2 linked regions of the Mus musculus genome follow. The protein of the gene in region 1 interacts with the protein of each later gene in a biochemical or structural test. Links are inferred from orthologs where the notes say so. Each region holds a gene or a part of one and is shown in the gene's direction. Other genes may lie near its edges.

What was found.
Region 2: the proteins of Mavs (region 1) and Irf3 form a complex in vitro, tested with the Homo sapiens proteins (2 studies listed by BioGRID). The link is inferred for Mus musculus from reciprocal best matches to the Homo sapiens genes MAVS and IRF3.

Annotation. Positions count from the first base shown.
Region 1 is NC_000068.7:131,240,534-131,244,174, forward strand, and holds part of Mavs (mitochondrial antiviral-signaling protein), read left to right. Parts: intron 1-1,346; coding exon 1,347-1,516; intron 1,517-2,585; coding exon 2,586-2,739; intron 2,740-3,641.
Region 2 is NC_000073.6:44,996,323-45,000,496, forward strand, and holds the start of Irf3 (interferon regulatory factor 3), read left to right. Parts: upstream 1-1,325; 5' UTR 1,326-1,586; exon of another isoform or gene 1,587-2,056; intron 2,057-2,351; exon of another isoform or gene 2,352-2,382; 5' UTR 2,383-2,390; coding exon 2,391-2,555; intron 2,556-3,569; coding exon 3,570-3,741; intron 3,742-3,831; coding exon 3,832-3,902; intron 3,903-4,049; coding exon 4,050-4,174. Other genes in the region: Bcl2l12 (bcl-2-like protein 12), read right to left, coding at 222-364, 556-662.

The DNA of each region.
Region 1 (3,641 bases):
TTCCTCCGGCCCACAGTCTCCCCCTTCCTTCACCCTTGGACCTTCTGCCTTTCTGTCTCCATCACTCTCCATTGTAGCATATACCTGGATTTAGATCCAGCTGAGCCACTCACTAGCTATATGTCCTTTGACCATATTCCTTATTTTTTGAGTCTGTCACAGTGGGGCAAATGGCCACATCCCTCATGTGTGGCTGCACTTAGCTGGGGTTCCACATCTTCCCTTTGCCCAGCGCAAGGCACCTGCCATCATGTTTGTGGCTCTGGTGTTTCCTTCTGTCTCCATCTATACAGCGTAGAGAGTACAGAGTCTACACCCAGTCACTTTCCCTACTCTCCATTTCTATTCCCTGCCCCAAGGTTGCTCTGAGAGCATCCAGGTTCTAATGATAACACCCAACTGCCTGGTGGCCCCTTAAGTCCTCTCAATGTCACTGCCACGTCATGTGACCAGAGGGGGTTTAGTATTAGAGCTTGAAGAGAAGATCTGGGAAGAAAAACCAAGCCAATCTTGAACACACCATGTTTGCTTTTGTTTCTCTTTTCCTCCCTTCTTCCCATGTTGGTCTCTTCATTTGTGGATGCTGCAGTGCTCTCTCAAATAAGTAATGGCTATGGTAGGGTCAGAGATGGGCTGTGGCAGGGGTCGGTTGGGGATGACAGCTGTGAGAAAGCCTTGGGACAGTGGAGGAAAGTGAGTATAACAGTCAGGCTGGTGAGAGCCCTGTGCCCTGCTCCCCCATCTTTGGTGCCACCTTTCTTGTCTTTCCCAGCTCTTCTTTTCCTCCTATTCCCTCCCCATTGATGCTTATCATGTCTAATGAATCTTTCTTAGTCAGGGTTTCTATTCCTGCACAAACATCATGACCAAGAAGCAGTTGGGGAGGAAAGGGTTTATTCAGCTTACACTTCCATACTGCTGTTCATCACCAAAGGAAGTCAGGACTGGAAATTAAGCAGGTCAGAAAGCAGGAGCTGATGCAGAGGCCATGGAGGGATGTTCCTTACTGGCTTGCTTCCCCTGGCTTGCTCAGCCTGCTCTCTTATAGAACCAAGACTACCAGCCCAGAGATGGTACCACCTACAAGGGGACTTTCCCCCTTGATCACTAATTGAGGGAATGCCTTACAGCTGGATCTCGTGGAGGCATTTCCTCAACTGAAGCTCCTTTCTCTGTGATAGCTCCAGCCTGTGTCAAGTTGACACAAAACTAGCCAGTACAGAATCCATCCCACATCAGGTCATGGAGTTATTGAAGGGAGACTAGATGCCCCAAGCATCCAGGCCTCTTCTATTACCAAGGTACCTCTGATTCTTTCTGGACATCACTATATCTTTGTACCTTAGGGACCTCACTCCGCTCCCTAGAGCCACTGCAGTTACCAGACTTTCCTGCTGCGGTTTCTGGACCCTCTGCATTTGCGCCAGGTCACAACATCCCTGACCATGGCTTACGAGAGACACCAAGTTGCCCCAAGCCTGTCCAGGACACCCAGCCACCAGAGTCCCCAGTAGAGGTAAGTCCTCACAGTCTGTTTTAAGCTGCCTGCTTTTGTGTGCCTGTCTGCCCACTTCTGCCCACCCAGCCTTCCAGAAGCCCCTTCCTACCTCCTGAAAATCTTTCCTGCTAAGAATGCTGGGGTTACCTAACTGGCTACCTAACTGCTGGCCATACCTGTGGACCCCTTAGCATTCTGTCTTTAGCTAGCTAAGAGGTCATGGTTTTGAGGTCTTTGCAGTGGTCATGTGACATGTTGAGCTGGGTAAAAAAAAAAAAACAAAAAAACAAAAAAACAAAAAACTGGAGGTTAAACCAGATTTGAATGTGAGGGAGGTGATATGAGGGCTCAGGAAGTCATGGATGGGTGGTGACAGAGCTCTTATCAACTGTAAAGTCAGGTATCTGGAAGATAACTAGTTCTACTGAGATGAAGTGAGTTAGCCATGGGGTATAGAAGAAACCCTAGGCCTAGACAATGGGTCTGAAGCCATAGGGTCTGTGCAGAGACTGCTGAAGAAAGGGCAGTGGTTACAGAGCTAGACACACACATGGGGAGGAAACTTGGGCAGTGCCTGCTTTTTGTTTTGTTTTGTTTTGTTTTGTTTTGTTTTGTTTTGTTTTGTTTTTATGTTTTTTAAAGCACTTGAAGTCATCCCGAGAGGCTGGGGATGTAGCTTTCAGTTGGTGCAGTGCTGATCTGGCATACACATATCCCTGAGCTCAGTATCCAGCACCATAGAAACTGGGCATGATGACATATACCTCTAAGCCTGACACTCAGGAGGTGAGAAGCAGGTGAATGCAAAGTTCATAGTCACCCTTGGTAAGTTCAAGGCTAGGGTGAACATAAGATCTGATCCAAAAACAAAACAGCAACAGCAAAACCAAGTAGGTACTAGGATTGAAGACTTATATTTGGCAAGTATAATATTGAAGAGCTACTTCACTCTTATATGTGAAGGTTTCTGAGGATCCTGGGCTCTAGAGGAGGAGCTGAGGCCTGTAGGAGATACCCTATAAATATCTGCTGCCCTTTGTCAGCTCCTGGGAGAAGCAACTGCTTTATCTCATTTCCTCTGTTTCAGAATTCAGAGCAACTCCTCCAGACCAACTCCGGGGCCGTCGCGAGGATGTCTGGTGGCTCTTTGATACCCTCTCCTAACCAGCAGGCTCTCAGCCCTCAGCCCTCCAGAGAGCATCAAGAGCAAGAACCAGAACTGGGTGGCGCCCACGCAGCAAGTATGCATAGAGTGTGGAATTACAGGGTCTCTTGGATCCCTCGCAGGAAGGTTAGGGTTACAGTTACCATATGGCCTTCCTTAGACAGGAGGCAGGGTAGAAATAAAAGGTATTCGCTTCACAGAGTATGTTCTGTGTGCACGCCTGTGTGTGCAGTAGTGGCAGCAGCAGCTTCAAATGCAGTCATTTATGTGCACATGTCTCAGCTGGGTAGGTCTTCTTATCTCGCTGAGTTTTCTCTCAGGTGTTTACTGACATATACATGTGTTCTTCTACTATCCATTACCTGGTACCTCTTCATTCTCTTTTCTTCTAGGACAAAAACCCAACTCATGACATCTGGGCAAGGCTCTAGGTAAAAGAGAAGCAGAGCTCTGAGCATAGGCTCAGAACTGGCCTATTTCTCCTGCTCTGTTCTGTGGTCAAAATAGATTAAAATTTTAATTAATAGATTAAAATTTTAATCTGGCCAGCCCAGATTAAAAGCACATTGGAGGGTGTAGTTTTTTGCCCTGTGAGTGTGTATTTTTGTACATTGCTGCATATGAGAGAGAGCTAAGGCTGTTTCTGCACTCAGGTAAAAGGTAGTGATTGTCCAGGACCTGAAGACAGGAAAGATAACATACAATAGTAGCTGATGAAGGAGCTTTTAAACACTGCTCTTCACAAGGGGATTTCTAGTTCCCAGCTGTGGTGGTTTGAATGAGAATGGCTCCCATCGCCTTCTACATCTGAATACTTGGTCCCCAGTTGGTGGAACTGTTTAGAAAGAACTAGGGGGTGTAGTATTGTCAAAGAGGTAGGCTTGGAGGTTTCAAAAGCCCATGACATCCCTAGTTAGTGTTCTCTCTCTCTCTCCTGCCTCATGCTTAAGGATAAGATGTAAACTCTCAGCTACTGCT
Region 2 (4,174 bases), on another chromosome or scaffold:
GAGCTGCATGCTTCCCGGGCTTTGGAGCCCCAGGGTACCTCCTATCCAAGCACAAACACTTACACTTACCCGCTAGAAAGAGGTGTGACAAAGACTTGAAATGGTTATGGCTTGTGCTGAAGCTGAACCGTGTTGACTTTATAATGGGTCCTGTCTGGATTTTTTGGAACCAAAACTCCTAGCCCTGAAAGTTTCACAAGTGACCTGAATAAATCTCTTACCAGGCTCGGAACCATAGCAGGGGCGGAGGGGAAGGAAGTGGGGCCTAGAGGACTCCGTGGGGGGAGCTCCTCTCCCCAGGGGACAAGGGAGGCATCTTCGGAGGCGGCTCAGGAAATCTGTTGTCTCCTCTTGGGCAGGACTCCTAGGGACAAGAACCTCGGAGTTATCCCGAAGGGGTCTGGGCAAGTGATCCCTTCATCCTTTCATGGAAGATCACTCTTGAAACTCAGCCCAGGCACATGGAGTTAGGTCTGATGGGAGTAGATAGGTTTGGACCACAAGACTCAGGAAGATCTTCCCATCAAAGGCTGACGCTGGGGGAGTGGAACTCACCTGGGTGGAGTTGGGACAGGGGACCCAGCGACTTCACCGCGCTTAAGGAAGGCCGTCAGAACCTTCAGTGTGTCCTCTCGGAGACCCAACTCTTCAGAGCCGGCCATGGGGGTACCTGAGGCAGAAGACAGAGGATGCACCCAAGTGCAGGGATAACTCAAACTTCTGAATCACTGAATGAAGAGGGCGCCTAACTCCAAGGAAAAGGTGGTTTTTAAGGGCCAGTGGGGCAGTTGATTCAGTTGAGGAGAAACGGTCTGAATTACTGAGTCTAAGAAAGGAGGTAAATGAGTGCTTGAACTCTTGCAGGAAGGAGCGGGAAGGGGGTTTGGAGTTCCCTCTCAGCTAGCAGCGCCAAAGAAGGCTCGAAGACCGTAGAGAATAGGGAACTACTAATCCTAGTATGCTTTGCGGCAAACGCTGGTCCGATTTCCCCACTTTTCACCGAGCAGTCTGCTGGGAGATGTAGTTCCAATTTTACCTCTGGCGTGCACCGGGAGACCCCGGGTGCTTGGAAGTCACAGCTTGGCAGGACTGGCTGTGGCCTTTCCTGCAACCCTGTCCCCTCCCTGGCACCCAGCTCACCTGGCTCGCGGTTGTGTCCCCGTCGCACTGGCGTACACGCTTTCTCACAATTTCTACAAACTTTTACTTCGGAAGTTCAACTTTCCCACGCCTGCGCACTGGGCCGACACGGCAACCGCCCCAACGTCGAAGGGGTGGAGCCTTCTTTTGCGGTCATTTGCATATGGCGTTCCCAGCATGCCTGTAGGCGGAAGGCCAAAAAAGGGCATTTGAGGGAGTTAGGCCTGCTAAGCCGAAGTGCGCTCCGGGATTTCTTGACTTTATTTCGTCAATGTTGAGAAAAACTTTTTATATCTCAAAATATCGTTAGAAAAGGAAGTCCCAGCGCTCGGAGGCTTAGCTGACAAAGAAGGGGGTTGCGTGGCTGCGAGTCTCAGAACTACTGTTTGGGAGCCCCAAAACCACTGCTGGCACCCGCGCCGCACGGGCGCCCAATTCCTCCCCTGGTAGGTAACGCGGAAGAGCCGGGAGGGTGGCGGCCTCAGGGCGCAGGATCGGGCAAACCTGTCGCTCAGAAGCTCGGCTACCGAAAAGCAGAATGGCCACGCGTTGTAGACGGAAGCCTGCAGTCTCAGCATCCAGGCTGGAGGCAGTAAAGATTGCTGTAAGTTCAAGGCCAGTGAGCTCCAGGCCAGGCTGGACGACAGAATGAGCGCCAGACCAACATGGGTTAAGCGATTTGAAGACCAGCCTGAGCTACTGAATAAGTTTGAGGGTAGCCTGGGTTACAGAGTGCATTCGAGGCCAGCCAGGGCCACAGAGTGAGTTGAAGACCAGCCTTGGCTACATAGCAAGTTCAAGGACAGCCTATGCTACATACTAAGACCCTGTCTCAAACATCCGTAAAAACAATATAGGAACAAAAAACAAAAAAACAGAAGAAGCGACAGCACCTGGGAAAAGACTCTGGAAATGAGTAAGGGTTTTCTGCAAGGGTGAGGCGGTTGTGAGAGCAGTTAGGATCCTTTAAAGACGAGGGAAAGAGGACTCCACTCTTGAAATAGGGTGCCAGCTTTGGATAATAGGAGTTTACATTTAGAAAAGGGAAGGAACCTATGGGTAGAGTTCATATAGAAGACTCTGGGGGGTAGGAGAGGCGGTCCCGTTGGATTTGGAAAGGTGGGAAGGAGTTTCCCGTTTGTACACAATGGTGAAGGAAGACCTGTGTTGTGGCGGGTCGGAGAGGTTTGAGTGCATTTGCCCCGTGACAGACAGGCTCAGGAACTGTCCTGTGGTGCGCAGGCTAGAGCATGGAAACCCCGAAACCGCGGATTTTGCCCTGGCTGGTGTCACAGCTGGACCTGGGGCAGCTGGAAGGCGTGGCCTGGCTGGACGAGAGCCGAACGAGGTTCAGGATCCCGTGGAAGCATGGCCTACGGCAGGACGCACAGATGGCTGACTTTGGCATCTTCCAGGTGCTGGGGGAAAGATTTCAGACGCATTTCTGGGTGTGGCTGGACCAGGGCAGGGGGTGGGATAGGACTGGAGGGACAGACGGGAATTGATTGGCAGATTCTAGGAACAGAATCCTGAAAGCCAGGTTGCGTTTCTTTTTTTTTTTTTTTTTTTTTTTTTTTTTAAAGATTTATTTATTATTTTATGTAAGTACACTGTAGCTGTCTTCAGACACACCAGAAGAGGGAGTCAGATCTTGTTACGGATGGTTGTGAGCCACCATGTGGTTGCTGGGATTTGAACTCTGGACCTTTGGAAGAGCAGTCGGGTGCTCTTACCCACTGAGCCATCTCACCAGCCCTAGGTTGCGTTTCTTAAGAAACGTTCTGGAGCAATGGTTCTCAGTCCCTGGGACGCGACCCCTTTGGGGGTTGAATGACCGTTTCATTGAAAAATAAGTATTTTGACTTCTAACAAAACTACAGTTATGTAATAGCAATACAAATAATTTTGGGGCTGGGGGATCACTGCAACACGAGGAACCGCATTAGGATAGTTGAGAACAGCTGTTTTAGAGGGCGGGAAATCTTTAGGAGTGGGCTCTTGATTTTAGAACCCTTAAGCCTTAAGAGTTGAGACTGCCCTCAAGAGGTGTTATTTGCTTCCTGAGCAGCATGGTAGTAAGAATGTGAGGTGGCCTGGGGTGAGGTACCAAGTAGATAACTAGAATGATGGCTTAAAAAAAAAAAAGCCTTGAAGGTGGACATGGTGACATGAGTTTGTCAGCACCGTGGGCAGGGCAGGGCAGGGTGGAGGGTGAGGTCTCAGCTTGGAGCCCACCTTTGGTTATAATGTGTGAAACCCTGCCTCAAAATCAAAACGATTTTTCTTTAGTGTGGAAATAGTGGGAAAGTATGAGAACGGAGGTCCTGGGGGCTCTGTCATGAACCAGAAGTGGATGGTGTGTGGTGGGAGGTGTCAGGGCCTCGGGCCAGAGTCTAAGTCGTCTTGTTGTGGAATCCCTGATATTTCAGGCCTGGGCAGAAGCCAGTGGTGCCTACACCCCGGGGAAGGATAAGCCGGACGTGTCAACCTGGAAGAGGAATTTCCGGTCAGCCCTGAACCGGAAAGAAGTGTTGCGGTTAGCTGCTGACAATAGCAAGGACCCTTATGACCCTCATAAAGTGTATGAGTTTGTGACTCCAGGTGCGTGTGACAAGGCTGGCCTGGGGGTCACAGAAAGCTTGGGATCAGGAGGGTCTCTGCCACCTACACGCTCACTTCCACTCTGGACAGGGGCGCGGGACTTCGTACATCTGGGTGCCTCTCCTGACACCAATGGCAAAAGCAGCCTGCCTCACTCCCAGGTGAGAGGCAGTCGTCCCGTGCCTCAGCCTTCCCCCCCGCCCCCCACCCCCCAGCCCTTCTCCCGGGACCTCCATTCCTCCACCGGTTGGCTGCCCTCCTGACTCAGCTGAAGCTGTTGACCAGCTAACACCCTCCTCCTCCCCCAGGAAAACCTACCGAAGTTATTTGATGGCCTGATCTTGGGGCCCCTCAAAGATGAGGGGTCCTCAGATCTGGCTATTGTTTCTGATCCTTCTCAACAACTGCCAAGCCCCAATGTGAACAACTTCCT